Mytilus edulis: one gene and its partner. The protein of the gene in region 1 binds, or shares a complex with, the protein of each later gene. Links are inferred from orthologs where the notes say so. Each region holds a gene or a part of one and is shown in the gene's direction. Other genes may lie near its edges.

The links. Proteins that work in one complex are often made in the same cells at the same time.
Region 2: KAT8 regulatory NSL complex subunit 3-like (region 1) and KAT8 regulatory NSL complex subunit 2-like share a complex: the UniProt entries of both Homo sapiens proteins name them as parts of the NSL complex. The link is inferred for Mytilus edulis from reciprocal best matches to the Homo sapiens genes KANSL3 and KANSL2.

The regions. Positions count from the first base shown.
Region 1 is NC_092347.1:90,585,514-90,593,830, forward strand, and holds the start of KAT8 regulatory NSL complex subunit 3-like, read left to right. Parts: upstream 1-4,911; 5' UTR 4,912-5,018; intron 5,019-5,949; 5' UTR 5,950-5,984; coding exon 5,985-6,142; intron 6,143-7,763; coding exon 7,764-7,928; intron 7,929-8,317. UniProt on the Homo sapiens protein: Non-catalytic component of the NSL histone acetyltransferase complex, a multiprotein complex that mediates histone H4 acetylation at 'Lys-5'- and 'Lys-8' (H4K5ac and H4K8ac) at transcription start sites and promotes transcription initiation.
Region 2 is NC_092345.1:56,706,927-56,715,530, reverse strand, and holds the start of KAT8 regulatory NSL complex subunit 2-like, read left to right. Parts: upstream 1-4,900; 5' UTR 4,901-4,973; intron 4,974-5,151; coding exon of another isoform or gene 5,152-5,294; exon of another isoform or gene 5,295-5,328; intron 5,329-5,491; 5' UTR 5,492-5,592; intron 5,593-6,527; 5' UTR 6,528-6,534; coding exon 6,535-6,770; intron 6,771-8,604. Other genes in the region: cyclin-T2-like, read right to left, coding at 433-478, 1,194-1,256, 2,088-2,148, 2,691-2,813, 3,361-3,442, 5,152-5,294. UniProt on the Homo sapiens protein: Non-catalytic component of the NSL histone acetyltransferase complex, a multiprotein complex that mediates histone H4 acetylation at 'Lys-5'- and 'Lys-8' (H4K5ac and H4K8ac) at transcription start sites and promotes transcription initiation.

The DNA.
Region 1 (8,317 bases):
ATCTCAAATCTCTCAAATCTTTATCTCTGACAGTCATTGTTTTTTTTATATATCATTTTTTTTAATCATTTTGAAGACAAATGAGGCACTTAGTTTTCAGGCATTCTCTCATCTTGAATCTTCTATTGGTATTCTTCTCTCGACCTCATTTTTTTGTGGTTGTGAATAAAATAGTGTTGGTTATTAGAATGTTAATGAGGGCCTTTACAAAATATGACACCTTTACTGTACACTATTTAGTTTTCAATGTGATGTATACAAAAACAAGCAAAGAACCATAATTACTGAGGAAGTTGTTTTTTATAGTAATTCTTCTTCACGTAATAATACTTGACCTATAATATTGGGATTTAAAAGAAAGTGGCATTTGTTATCTAGTTTATGTTAAGGACTAAGGAGTCATATAAATTCATATTTTATCTTTCTTTTAGAAAAAAATGTCCTATATGATAGTTGCCAAGATTGGTGTTCATTTAGTACATATACAGGATGTTTGGATAAACAACAACATTTCAATCATAAAGTGGAGACAGTCTGTAAAACCTTGAGATCATTTGGGGCCAAATTTATATGCATTACTTCTTTTTTTGAAGAACAGTATGTTACAATTTAAGATTTTTATCTGATGTGTAAATGTTTCATGTTGGAATCATTTTTTTTGTTATATTTAAAAGCATTTGTTTTTTTAGTAGATGTTTGAAAACTAACAGTATATAAGGAAATCCTTTAATATATTTACATATTTTATAAAAATTCACTGTGAAATACCAATAATACATTTATATTTGACTTTCATGTCATCTATTTATAGTGTGTAGGAAGAAAAACATCTATTAAAATAATACCATCTGTATGTCGAAAATATTGGTAAGGGGTTCAGTTTTTACTTTTATCTCCCCTTGTGTATTTTTATACTTCGAGATGATCAAAATCAAAGACAAATAATGCCTGAACATATTAAACCTCACAGAACAGGTTTTACATTATTTATCATAATATTCTAAAAACACCAACATAAACCACATAACAGTAGTCTTTAATCATTTTGATAAGAAATTAATTTCAGAGAATAGGTTGATGGCCTGAAAGCTTAATTTCATTACTTTTATCATTAATTTAATAATTTAGTACTTTTGATAAACTGATTTGAAGAATAAGATCAAAACTTTCATTTCTTTGCTATTACACTCTACTGCTTTGGTATATATCCAGCATGTGATTGCACCTTTTATAGATATTCTCATCTTGTTAAATGAACTCTTTAAGTATGTCTCTTAAAGTGTTGAATAAGCTTGACATCTTTATTATTCAGTATCAAAACTCTATTGATATGAATAAAGAATTATACCAATTATAAGGGAGATAATTCAGGATTGCAATTAAAAATAATTTTGCCCAAAAAAAATTGACTCTTATTGACTTATTCCTGTCTTTCTTTAATGTGACTTATTGATTATTTTATTACTTTTTGCTGTGCTAGAACATTAATTTCAGATTGAAAATTGCTAGAACTTATTTTTTTATGTGAGTCTGTTAAGCATGTTACATGGTATCTTTTTTTATTCTTTTTTCGAAGTAAATGAAGATTGTTGACAAGAAGCTTTTAGAAAATGACTCAAATAAATATGAACAGTTGTTTTTCCATTGTAATAAAAATGAAGTCTGTACTATATATTTCATGTTGTTTGTTTCCTCTACTAGTAATGAACGAATTGGTTTCTGGCTGAATGTGTCATGCATAATAATGAAAGTTATACATTTTAGCAATAATATCTTTAATATATTGTTTAATATGTGATTAATTCAACTATTAATATTATCATGATTTTGTAAAGATGTATGTGAATACAAAACAAAATAAAATAAATCAGAAAATAAACCTAATTTTGATGTAGATTGTAGTTAGTTGTATTTTTGTATTTGTTCCCTTCAAAATCTAAAAAGTTGAAAGATTTTCATTTCTTCAAAATATTTGATAGCATTACAGAAAGTCTGGTAATCTCACAAAGAATCAAAGTTGAACTTCAGTTACACTACAGAATTCGTATTACTGAATATAAAAGATTTAGGGTACATGTGTTTAAGACATCAACTCAATATGAATAAAAAGTAAATCACAGGTCTATGAGAGGTCCTCAATGAGCAACAGTTGTTGATACCAGATATCAAACTCTAATTATTACCCTGTTTTCCATATAACCAAGTGTCCCTTTTATTTCCTTGATCAAGTTAGTGGTCATTCTGTTGGTAGCTACATTTTGTGTGGTATAATTAAATATCATGGTCTAAATAGACAAATGGTGAGGTTTATGGGCATGTAAAACTGACTTTACTACACCACTCCGGTATTATAATACCTATATCATAGATCTGTCGTTCATTGTTTGTCTTAGTTTGTATGTCTTCTTTCTCAATAGAGTCTGTTATTGATGGTACCGTAGGGCATGGTAAAGGTGTCCAATACTTTTGTGATTCCTGGTTTCCTTTTTATGTGTTAAGAAACAGTTAGGTGCTAATAGAATTTCAAGAATATTCTGCTTCATGACCAGCTACACAACTTTTTTAGAAGCTAATTGTATGTGTTTCAATATTTTTTGCTATAAAACTGCAACAACCAGATATGGTATAAATTAACCAGGGTCTTCAATCTATTGGCTATCAAGTAAGTTTTGTAAATTGAAACCATAATGAGGCTTATATTTTGTATCAATATATATAATATTTCCAACACTCAAAATCAAGGCAACACATCACGATTAATTGTATCTGATCAGCCTAAATAGTGTTAAATTATAAAAAAAAACAACATACAAATATATGACCGATGATATTACATAAAAGCTAGCATGGTTTTAGCATTAATTCCTGGTCATTGTGACAGAAACAAAATTTACAGTTTGGACAGGTCTGCACTATCTCCAGGCCTTTCATGTATTAGAAAAAGTGTGGTTATTTTTCTAAAGAAAACATGAAAACACGGGGCCTTTTATAGCTGACTATGCGGTATGGGCTTTGCTCATTGTTGAAGGCCGTACGGTGACCTATAGTTATTAATGTCTGTGTCATTTTGGTCTTTTGTGGATAGTTGTCTCATTGGCAATCATACCACATCTTCTTTTTTATATGATACATATTATGCTTGTGTGGTTGAATTTAAAAAGTTATTTGTTCAAGAAATCCACTGTAATCGGGTCAGAAAATATACAGTGTTTGTGCAAGTTGATTACAAAAGGATATAAAATGTAATCAAGCTTAATGCATGCGTTACAAAGTTGTAAAGTTAAGCTTTTGTTGTTGTTTAGTTTTCTATTAAACACATCACTACTTGACCCTAATATTTTTTGCACTTCTCGTTGGGTTAAAAGTAAAAAATGACAGAAGTGATCAACAGGACAAGTTCTATCTAACCTGGGCATTCTGTATTTGATATTGATGCTGTCATATTAATTTCTACCTATTTTCCCATTTTTTATCTGAAAAAATACAGGAACTAGTTTAAAATTTTAAATGGCAAAAGTGATCATAAAAAAATATACAGGAACTAGTTTAAAAATATAAATAGCAAAGTAAATCAGCAAGACAAAAAGACCATGCAAGTCCAATTTTAAAGGTCTCCACTAGCTTTCAACCAAGTTAGCTATACAGGCTATCCTCTTGTTATGATAATGGTCCAATAAAGAACCAAGATGCATTAGATGTGAGCCAAAATTTGTTCCTGTGAAAAAAGTTCTAGTGGAACTTATATCACAGGAAATATGTTCTGGGAGAACTTTTTTTTCACAGATGATTTCTATATAATTTGTTACATCTCTATAAAATAAGTTCCAAGTAGATGAAATTGTTCCTTATCTAGTAAAATAAATTCTGGGTTTGAGATATTTGTTCCTTACCTGGTGAAATAAGTTCTAGGTTTGTGAGATTTGTTCCTCACTTGGTGAAATAAGTTCCTTGTCTGTGAAATATGTTCCACTGGTTAAACAAGTTATCTTGTACACATTGTAATGAGCATTTGTCATCAGTGAGTTGAAATTTATCATTCAAGTATATTATAAAAAAAATGTATTATATTGATATATATGTAATCAGAAGTCCAGTACTAGTCTATGAATGGACTTTTAATGTAATAAATAAAAAGTGTAAACATCCAATTTGGATCCTGTGGAGTATAGCAAATTTTTAATAATATATTTACTCCATAAAAAATACCAAAATGACACTTATGAGCCAGAAAAGAGCAGAATTAGAATAAAAAGTATAGTTAATGATGAACATTTATACTAATTTGAAAAGGACAAAGTGACTGATCAATTATATTGAAAGACATAAAGAAACAAAAGTCTCAATCTCTTGAAACTGTGCCATGACCTAAGTACATGTATGAAAAGAACAACCATGACTGTTAACGGGAAAAATAGAGGAATGCCACATAAAACATGAATAAAAATTATGATACATAAATGAAGGCAACAGTAGTATACCGCTGTTCGAAATTCATAAATTGATAAAGAAAAAAACAAATCCGGGTTACAAACTAAAACTGAGTGAAATGTATCAAAAATATAAGAGAATAACGACACAACAGAAACACAACATTACAATGTAACTCACACAGGAACGAACTATGACATAACAATGGCTATTTTCCTGACCTGGTACAGGGCATTTTAAGAAAAAAAAAGATGGGTTGAAGCTAGTTTTGTGGCATGCCAAACCTCCCGCTTTAATGGCAATGTTAATTATAACATTAAAATGACATTACATGACGATAACCATCACTTTTTATTTCTTATCTTCATCATATAGTTTCATTAATGCCTTCATTAGGTTTTTTTTTTTTTTTTTTTTTATCTTTTTATCACACGAAGCTGTGGATTCCGGGAAAAAATTATATCCATTCCGTAATCGTAACACATTTAGAAATTTGACCTTCACCTTTTTATTTTGGCGTGGAATGCTAAATTTTATTTTGTCGATATATTTAGTATGAATGCTACATAAGACAGCATTCCCAATTATTTGTAAGTAACTGAATGACGGCAGTGTTGTCGCCGTCAAAAATTTGATCCTGATATATAAAAGGTCGCTGTTTTCTATGACGAAACCATCTCAAAACATTTTAAATTGAACATCACAACAATCAACATCATATAATTTACTTTATTAGTGTGGGTTCATGGTCTAGTGGTTAAGACCGATTCCTACAGTGCTTGAAGGTCACGAGATCGATACTGACTCGGGGTGCTAGATATTTCAGTACATTACAAGGGTGATTTTCACCCTCCAACACATTTCTCTGGTACCTAGACCATTAAACTAGAATGTGTACTTTGGACGCCTAGGCTGGTCAAAGTTGTCCCCTACTTTGACCTGGAGATCAATCCTCTGATATCTCTTAGGTTGTCTGTTTCTGCCCAGTGGTCTGGTGGTTCTCTCCTATTACTCCAGCTTCCTCCCCCATATAAAAGACTTCCCAGTGTCCTAGCACTCCTTTTGTGTTGGGTGAGGATTCAATTTGATTGTCCTTGTAAAAATAATTATCGTAAAGATATGATAGTCAATCATAATTTCAAAATAATTAGGAATATGATATGATATGAAGGCGTCACAGAATTTTTTAAAAATAGCCTTTCAAGACGTCATAAGTATTCTTATTTGCTGTATTATATGTATATACGATGGTCTCTATTATTAGAGAATGAAAATAGTGGCGGTCTTGACATAAATAAAAGTTCTGATCTAGCCTCTGTTATATACTGGTCAGTTAATTATAAAATTATTGATATCATAAAATTCACAAATTGTTCCTGACTGATATAAATTATAATAACTATATAAAGTAAACTTTATAATTAGTATTTAGCACTTATCTGCCCCAAACAAGAATACTTTTGTTCAGTTCTGGATCCAATACCGCAGAATCAGAAGCTTGATTTTGATTTTTTGTTTCAGATCATTTTTCAGTAGAGGTATAAGTTTTGCTTAAAATGGATATTTACCAACCAGACAGAGGCAGTACAGTATCCATGGACCATTGTTATTCCAAGCCATGGAGTGCTCATCCTGATGCCAGTAATGCCAGACCTATCAAAAAGTTATATATGCCAAAGCTACCACATCTTACACAAATGCACGTACAAAACAGGTAACAGTTATGATAAAATAAACTCAATTGCAAGCTGACGGTTGTTATCCTTATATTAATGGATCTTTGATAAAATGTGAGGTACTGCTAGCTGGTTCATTCATGTAAATAAATTGTTGAAATTGTTTTTATGCCCCACCTACAATATGCCCACCTACGATAGTAGAGGGTCATTATGTTTTCTGGTCTGTGGCTCCGTTCGTGCGTCAGTTCGTCTGTACGTCCGTTCAGGTTAGAGTTTTTGGTCAAGGTAGTTTTTGATGAAACTGAAGTCCAATCAACTTGAAACTTAGTACACTTGTTGCTTATGATATGATCTATCTAATTTTAAAGCCAAAATAGACTTTTGACCCCATTTTCACGGTCCACTGTACATAGAAAATGAAAGGGGGAGTTTCAGGTTAAAGTTTTTGGTCAAGGTAGTTTTTGATGAAACTGAATTCTAATCAACTTGAAACTTTGTACACTTGTTGCTTATGATATGATCTGTCTAATTTTAAAGCCAAATTAGACTTTTGACCCCAATTTCACGGTCCACTGAACAAAGATAATGAAAGGGGGAGTTTCAGGTTAAATTTTTTGGTCAAGGTAGTTTTTGATAAAGCTGAATTCCAATGAACTTGAAACTTAGTAGACTTGTTGCTTATGATATGATCTTTCAAATTTTAAAGCCAAATTAGACTTGTGACCCCAATTTCACGGTTCACTAAACATAGAAAATGAAAGTGGGAGTTTCAGGTTAAAGTTTTTGGTCAAGGTAGTTTTTGATGAAATTGAAGTCCAGTCAACTTGAAACTTAGTACATATGTTCCCTATAGTATAATCTTTCTAATTTTAATGCCAAATTAGATTATTACCCAATTTTTACAGTCCATGGATCATGGAAAAGGATAGTGCAAGTGGGGCATCCATGTACTTTGGACACATTCTTGTTTTTATTATGTGCATAAGGAAGAATTAAAATGTAAGTGAGAAAAGTTGCACCTACATGTATTAAAAAAAGATCCTTTGAATTAAAAACTTACAAAATTGTTGAATGTATTTTGATGAATGAAAGTATCAATAATATTGACAGCATGAGAGAAAATAACAACAGAGGAGACCTATAGTCTTTTATATTCTTGTCCTTCAGTCTTCTGATAGAAAGTTGCCTCATAGTGACTTATATCACACTTTCTTTTTTAGACAAGCAGACATAAATTTGCAAACACAATATGACATAACTCACACGCATCAACTATAATACCACCTATGCAAAAACAAACAACAAAAAAACAACACACCAACAAACAAACAGGAAAGATAGGGGAAGAGAAAGTGATGATTAAAGAAAAACTTCTTCAAATGTGTTGGATCAATATGTGCTTGAAATTTGATAGAACATTTTAACAGTTGTTACTTTTATAAACATAGATGTAGGAAGATGTGGTGTGAGTGCCAATGAGACAACTTTCCATCCAAATAACAATTTATAAAAGTAAACCATTATAGGTCAAAGTACGGCCTTCAACACAGTGCCTTGGCTCACACCAAGCAACAAGCTATAAAGGGCCCTGAAATTACTAGTGTTAAATCATTCAAACGGGAAAACGAACAGTCTAATGTTTGCTTTGTATTTTAGGGAAGCAGAAATAGATGTTTGTACAGTAACTGAGCCCAGCAAGCCACCATATGATACAGCTAAAGCCCGGAGTCTAATGCAGGAGTGTGGACGACATGTACCCCTAATGAGAACAGAAGAAAGCCCAGAGGACTGGGAAGAAAGAATTTCAAGGTTTAAACAAATGTCTGTTGATTTCATGGGGATCATGGTAACACCTCATTTTCATCTTCCAATCATTTCACGTTTAATAAATTGTACTTTTATAATAAACAGACAGAAACCAATATTTCATTTATAATTCTTTTCTATAGAAATATGAATAGATTTTAAAACATTTGAATGATATTTTATCTGATCAATGAGTTAAACAAGACTATTATATACATAAAATTTGAAAAAAAAATACACAAACAACTTTTTATCACTGATTTATCGATTATTTTGGTAGACATGAAATAATTCAATTTTCAATTAATAATCAGTTGAACAGTGATTTTATAGACCTAAAAAAGTAACAATCATAATATTTGTAACCTATTTGATTTAACAAATGTATGACGTGAAAACATTTT
Region 2 (8,604 bases), on another chromosome or scaffold:
TGACTATCAACCTTCTTATAATATGTGTAATTAAAAGAAATAGATGCAAAGGAATCATTAACATAGTGGTTCATTTGCAACATTTTAATGTAGTGTTTATGGCCATTGTAAAATGAGAACAACTGGTATATTTTTAGCTACGTTCCATGCAATGAACATGTCTTTAAAATCAGTTGGTTTTCTTCCAGTGAATGGGACATTTTTATGGCTGATAATCAAAAATTTTGCTTATACAATTTTTATTTATATTAGTCATAATTTAGAGCATCCCGATTATTACTGAAGAACTATTTATCTACATCCACATTCATACTATAAAATAGTTTGCCCGGGACAATTTTTTCCAATTTCTGTGCATTAATATTATAATAACGATTTTTCAGCTTTAATGCATATTTATTTCGTTTATTCATATCCAGAATAAAATCTCACCTGTTTGTTGCCAGGAAATATGAGGTCTGTGCAAGATCTTTTGTAGCTGTAAAATAGAAATTTATAATTCAAAATTCAAGTTTAGTCTGGACAAACACACCTTATACATGTTGCTGCTTGATAACCTAACCTTCAAATGCTATAAAAATTTACATCAAGTTGAAGAACTCTGTCTGTCAATTATTCACAATAAACAACTGCTTTAAAAGTTTCCAACATTGGATGTAAATTTGAAGATACTATTAATGATGTTGAAAAGAATTCTCAAATGTGTCTACATGTATGTTCAGGATAATATATGGGCAAAGATAAGGGACCTCAATCATAAATCTTCACTCATTACTAGGAGGTAAAAAATGTGTGCTTGAAACACTAAAAAACTGTAAATTTGATTGGTTGAATCAAAGTTGGAGTACATTAATCAGACGCAATATAATTATAATCACACGACCTAGCACTCCCAATGTGATAATTATGAAATCGGAATAGAATGAACACCTAATAAATTGGCATGTCTAAAATGCTTTTCTGGATTTACCTTCATCAGGAAAGCTAATACCACGAAATTGAAAAGCCAAGGATTATGAATACTTGTTATTTATTTTAGATGTGGTGATTTCTAGCTTTAAATGTATCGAATTCCAGTGTAAAGTTGAAAATTGCAGTTAACTTGTGTGCTGCTTTCCAGAGGTTTAATATTAATACTACTCTGTCTCTCTATATGTACTTATCCTCAGATTTCGTAATATGTTTTTTCTTACCTTTTACAAGCTGACATGTTTTCACTACATTGGTATGTGGATGGTCTACTGTCAGATCAAAACCTGTATAAAAAAATACAGTACTAGTTATAATGCTAAACTTCTTGTAAGGAAACAATATAAAACTCATTCAAAATGTGTTCAGTAGATAATTATTTAGGATATTCTAAGGTTTAAACTAAAATTGAAAAGACCATAATTTGAAAACCAGTTAACTGCCTACTTGGTATTTTTGGCCAGAATATAAAAATGGTCATTCTTTATAATTAAACATGGTCAGCATTTTAAAGTTTGGTAGCAATTGGTCCATAAGAAGAATATTTCAGAATACTTTAGTTGATAGGTATTAATTTTACAAGTGACATTAAAAAAAGATGTTGTAACTATCTATTTTTGGAGATGGTACAAATGTGATTTATCATTAGGTTTCAATGGGAAACTGAAAGTTGACATTACTTCTCATGCCCAAGTAAAATATTCTGTATAACTGTGGAATAATTTTTTTGTTGGCGAGTACAAATTTTCATTGTTAGAGATATACTTGCAATTTCGAGGATATTTGATTTCATGGTTTTGTCAGCCTGCCTATATAATCATAAAATTTTTGTATATCGTTGTACTTATAAATTTGTGGTTCCAAGATACATAAAGTACACACGAAACCAACAAAAATTGGTATCCAGCAAATAATAAGTTTTCAACAGAAACTGGCATTTTTCTTCAGGTTTGACATGTAGTTTTGAAGAAAATGATACAAATGTATTTTATTAGGTTACAATAGGAAACTGAAAGATGACATTACCTCTCTTTTAAAATATTTTGTATTACTGTATAGCGTACTGTTAAACTCTTATGACAGAACAATAAAATTATATCTATAATACCATTACTTACCAAGAGTTTGCAATAGAATGCTTTCATTGATAACAAGTTGATGAGCTTCATTTAAATATTCCTGAAAATACATTAACATACAAGATTTTAAGTTAATGAAGTTTCATAGAATGCTTTCTGCTTCAAAAATCAAAACATGTAATGTGAAATGCTGAATGCAGTTTTAAAAATTTATACATAATGAAAGCAAGTGACATTCATATTTGTAATGGAGGGTGTCAGAAAGCACTTTTTGTTTAAATATGATCATTGTATTTAGTATCAATTTTCACAAGACATTACTATATAATGTGTTTTTTTTCTTCTTACAAAATGTAAACATATGACAGAATGAAATGAATTGTCTTTTATTAAATAAGAGATCAACATTTGTTTGAAGTGACAAGCCTAATATATTGTAGTTTGTTTTTGGATGGCGAAAATTTTACATATTCTTTTAATTTTGTCAACTAACTTATCACATGAAACTACATGTACAATGTTATAAACCTAGCTAGAATACTGAATCATCTTTAAGTGCAACAATTTTCGATCTGGTTTAAATTTCAGATAGTATATAAACAATGACCCTACATGTACATGAATAGCATATGAAATACTTACTTCACTTTTAGTGTCAGGAGTTTCTTTATTCTGACATATATTGGACACTTTGACAACATGCTCTAATTTTCGAGGTTGTTCTTCTACTTTGGCAGCTAAAAACAAACATGCTGCTGCCATTGCCTATGAGAAAAATATCAATAACAAAACTTTATTATGGTGACATGTTGAAAGTACAAATCTTTTATTGATGTAGTTTAAAATGAAAAACAAAATTGTCATGTCAATCATTATAATAAAGGTCAAACCGTATTTTAGAGGGGCTCAATTGTTTGGAAAGTTTTATAAAAACAAGTCTTAGTGTAAAACAAACTTCAAAAAATTTTATTGAGGTAAATTGGCTGGGAAGACTTATAAAAACAAGATGTTGTGCGAGCTACATGTACTGCTAAGTAATTTGTACTGCTACTTTTTCTCTGATCTGAGAGGAATGTTAAATATGTCTTCTTTTTTGTCATCTACTTAATTTGGATTTAATAGTAGATCATGGAAAAACAATCTAAAGTGGAACACTTGTTTAGTGTTGCTGAACCCATGATGACCTCTAAGACACCTTCTGATTTTTTTTTACATCAGTTGCTGTCTTCCAACAATATATCCAACATTTTATTTCCCTCATATATATAACACAATATCCCCCCACCCTTACAAATGTTAATTAAAAACTTACATTGCGATGGAACTTTTGAAATGAGTGGAACATATAAAATCTGTGCATGTAAACGATGGCGGTGTTGATACATAGCTGAGTACTGAAATCAATGTCAAGGAAAAATTTGATCTAAAAATATATGTACAATAGGAAACTTTCTGTCACCTGTACAGAGCAAGAGACAAACTCTCCCACTATTTATCTTTAAGTTACAACTTGATATACATTCACCAGTGTTATTATTACTAGTCATGAAATTTTACCCTTTTTCTGCAGGAAATGTTTTATTTAAAAGAGGTGCTACAAATAACTTATAGACACTATTCATGAATACAACACTGTTCAGAATTCTTTTTCAGCATAACGGCACACAACTGTGTTCCCTTAAAGGGAGCCATGCACTTTGACTTGTGTTTCAAGCAGTGATGGGCACAATTACTTACAAATGTAAACGATTAATAATCTAATAACTTTCAAGTGTATAGTTCCTGGAGGGCATGGATTTTTTAAGTCTATTTATTAGGTAAATGAAATATCTTTATAAAAGAAACAGATCTGCAAGCAAGAATATTTTTGATAGATGAACATGTACTAGCAACAAACCTATGACACTAAAGAACAACAATTACTTTCAGTTCTGTATACTTTTATAAATGTATAATTATCCATGTATTAGAATCTAGTAACAGATATATCATTTATGTCTTTTCTAAGGATATTTACTTTTGTTCATTCCTCTCCTACAATGAAAGAAATTTAATCCCAGAAAATAGACCTCAGAATTAGCTAAAAATTTTCCCGGAAATCAATGATCATGATACAAGAAAACATATTTTGGCTATTTTTTATAACAATGACCAATCTGACATCTGACTATTATTATTAACTGATTATGAAGATCCATATATGCTTATTTAGCAATATTTTGAAATCAAAAGGCTTGTACAGTGTCACAGAAATTTTTATAGAACTAATTTGTACACGATTGTGTTATTCTTCATTGTGAAAGGTAAAAACTGTTGCAATTAGATCGATGGTATAAATAAAAGGAAGAAGAAAGTCGATATTGACCGTATATAAATCTTAAAGCAGTGATTGCTATATTGGTAGCATCTATAATAGGTTACAGAACCAGACTATGCAAGACCCATCTAAGTAGTCAATGCTGTTTATAGTTACAAATATTAGGTTTTAATATAACTTATATATATAGACAAACCAAGAACATGAATTGGGTATTTAACTATCTATATACTGTTCGTGTAGCACTTCCTTTTTACTTATTTAGAATAAAATTTCAATTATATTCTTTTCCATATAATAATATTGGAAAATATTATCTTATTTTGTTTGAACAGAAGAGTGGTTTTCATCTGGTACTATGAGTTTATTTTCAAGGACAAGAATCATTACATACTATTCAGGTGTATAAAAATCAGAATTTCAGAAACATAGGCAAATGAAAGTTCTGGTAAACTTGGAACTAGATATAAATTAATAATTCAAAAGTAGGCAATGTACATTTTTTAGTTTTTATAAACAAACACATGTGCCAAGGAGTCACATGGTTGAAAACACGTGACTTCATTTTCAGAAAATGGTCGGTCTTGAGAAGAGTTTCAGACCAAATGGTAAGGACTTCTTCATTGCTTGGTATTTTAGTTTTTTTTTTTATTTTTATTAAAAATTATTCAATTTATGCTCAATGTGATCATCCGTTTAGTGAAAACGTGACGTCGGTAGAAAAATGTTCATTGGAACTTCGCGTCTCGATGTTTGCAGTGTGCCCCCTTCCCTCAAACAGGATACACTTGGAGCCGTTGTCCCATATCCTGGATAAGGTTGGCAGCTTGTTGCCTATAAATAAGTTCTTTGTCGTTTTCTATCCCACTCTTTCGGCTGGGGGTATTCAAAAGTTGTTCTTTTGTGAATATCCATCGCTCCCCCGCCATTTACACAACTCCGAGGAAAATGGAAAGGACGCATGCTCGTCCGAAATTCATAGGACTGGACTGAATTTATAGACAACACTAATTGGTTTAAAATCAATTGCATATTTTTGTTTTGTCCTCTGAGCAATAAGAAGTTTAAAATTAAGATTCATTGATTTTTACAAAAAATATTATATAGTTATTTTAATTACTTGTAGCTTAAAGAATAAATTGTGATGTAAACATTTTACCAATTCATATCAATACACTAAGAGGACAGTAGCTGTGTAACATAGCCTCCAAATACTTCGCATTTCAGGTAATTTTGACATGAAATGCATAGAAAATGTATTTCATTTATTTTCCTTACAACTATGTATTCGGGAAGGCGTATATTTAGTTTACTGAAATGACAGTTGCAGATAGAACGCAAGACAAATAGTAAAATAGAAGATTTGACCGATTTACCTTTTATAATATCCAACACCTACGCTAAAAGAAACCAGCTCATTTGAAACAAAAGAGTCACAAGTTGAAATGCCTAAAATTGCATGAACTTGAAAGATCATAAGAGAAACTTGGTTATGTGTAAATATTTGGAAATTTGTTAAATTTTCAGTCATCAATTTTTAGTAAAAAAAGTAGGTCACTGGTACCACATTCTTGTAGTGCTAAATTCATTAAAAAAAATCCCCCATTGACTTTAATACTAATCTATGTCTTGAATTTTATACCTGATTTACCTTTAGAATTTAAAATCTTTCATATATCATTCATGAAAGTACAAATGTAGCCCTATCTTTTGCAACAATAAAAAAATAGTCATAGGGTCATGCATCATTTTTTGGCATTCATGGCCTTGTTTACAAACCCTGTAGATTCACACTTAATTCCTTTACTGACCCCCAAGACTTTTTAACACTGTAGTAAAAATAATAGGTACATTCAATATTTATTTTTAATTACTTTTTTACTTTAGTTTTGATCTGTCTATCCAAAAATATTTATTACAAACATCTACCAATCAGAAGAGCACTTTTTACCAATATGTGGCGGTCCCTGATGACGTATATTTATTTACTGAATTTACCCCTGTAGATATTTATCTGTATCTCTAATTTTAGGATTTTTATGAGAAAAAGGGGGGGGGGGGGCAATTTATAGGTGGAAAGCCTTGCATATGTGGACCTACAGGGATAATAAATATCTGTAGTTTTAATACATCTAAATATTTTTATGTATTTTTTCTTTCAGAATTACAATGATACGCAGTAAAATAACACAACCACAGATTAGAAAAACAAAGCAGCCTGTTGAAGGAGTATTCTGTAACTATTCCCATAGAACATGTATGCACAATCGCTTAGAAGGATTTGAATATTGTATAAAGCATATTCTAGAAGACAAGAATGGACCATACAAACAGTGTGGATTTATTTCCTTGAAGAATGGCAAACGATGTATTAATGCTGCTCCTAAAACAGATAAAAGAGATGGGTATGTATTAATGGTCCATTTTCACTACATGGCTGTCAGCCTCCTTGCTTGATTTTCTTACCTTCCCTACTTTTTCTACTGATCATTTTGTTCTGCTCTAAGCTTGAAAATGAGTACATGGATCCCTCCAATCCTCAGTAATGTCTCAGTCATTACAGCTGAAAGGACGTGCTGGATCAGGTCCTGATTATCTGTTAACTAAAACATGTTACAAGTCAAATTAGTTTATAAGGCCCTCATACAGTAAACCGGCATCAGCGAGTCTGATATTAAACCCATTTTTAATGGGTGAGTGTCATACATGTAATTATGCTGTCCATACATCCAAGGGCTAGCTGTATCAAAGTTTTAGTGCAATTTGTAGTCATCTACTACAGAGTCAATGATTCATCTACCAACAATACAACGTCATGGTAAGCAGGCTGCCAAGCTGATCACCCTTGCCCTGTAAGCAACAGTTGGGGAGTCAGTCAAGGTTGTTCAAATCTCCTATCATCATGGATCCTTCTTTTTTAAAATGACATTTAGATTGATTAAAAAAGATGTTTTTTATTAACAGATTGTGATCGATTATGGTGCCTAAAATTTGAAAGCAAAAGAATCCTGTATCATATTCCAGTCCTAAAACAGATCTTATATAATGTATACCTTTTATCCCTATGATAGCAACATGAGTAACATTGTCTGAATTTTGTCCTGCACATAACTTTGAGCCATAGAACTTAGGCTGATCAATCATGTTATGCAATTACATCATGAGGTTGTGGGCGGATGTTATATATCAAGGTCATGTCATCCAGACCTAGATTTGACCTTTGACCCCTATGATAGGAAACAATGATGTCTGATTTCTGTGCACTACATATAAATCTTTTGTATTGTAGCTTAATTGACAAAACTTTGTATACATGTACTGTAATAATAATGTATGCAGAATACATATACTATAGGGTTATTGCATGAATATTGGGGAATATTGTCCCGAGTAGAATTTTATATTGCAAGAGCTTGCGAGTGCAATATATGTTCTACAAGGGACAATATTCCCCAATATTCATGCAATAACCCTTTTATTGTATAGCAATATAATATTTGAAAGTAAAAATTGGTTTAAACTAAGATTTTGTCGTTGATGACGTCATGAGTTTTGACGATTTATTGCACTAGTGCAATATTAGAATTTATTGCACGCTAACTTTTGGTTACTTTCTGTGGGAAATATTATATTGCTATACAATAAATGTATATATTTATCATCATGGGAGCAGGATGTGAAACAATATCAAAATCAGATCAATCTTACCTTGACCCTAGGAAAGTTATTATGTCAGGTGCAAAACTGTTCTCCGGGAAAATCGATTTTTCATGGAGATAAGATCATTGTGGCATAGACCTTTGACCTAAAAAACAAAAAACCAATATTGAAACTCTCATTTGAGACGTCCATCAGAGATTCTAAATATTAAATACATGTAGACGCATTTCTTTCTGAATTTACAGTATACAAACCTCAGTCATTATTCACGAGTCAGTATAATTCTGTCAAATTGCCCTCTAAGTATCAATGTGTCAACCAAACACAAAAGCAATGATTTCATATAAAGTGAATTGCTGGAAGTCAAAAATATAAAATTTCATTGTCTCAATACTGTTCACTACAACAAGTTAACTATAATGCATTGAGATAATGCATGTACATGTAGGGGCTATGTAGACAGGTCTAGTTTAATTCTATTTTATACTGTAGTGTACAATGCCAATAATGTTTTATTATATGCCTCTAATATTATATAATCAAAAGTTATCTCAGTTTATCGCTTTAATTGTTATTTAC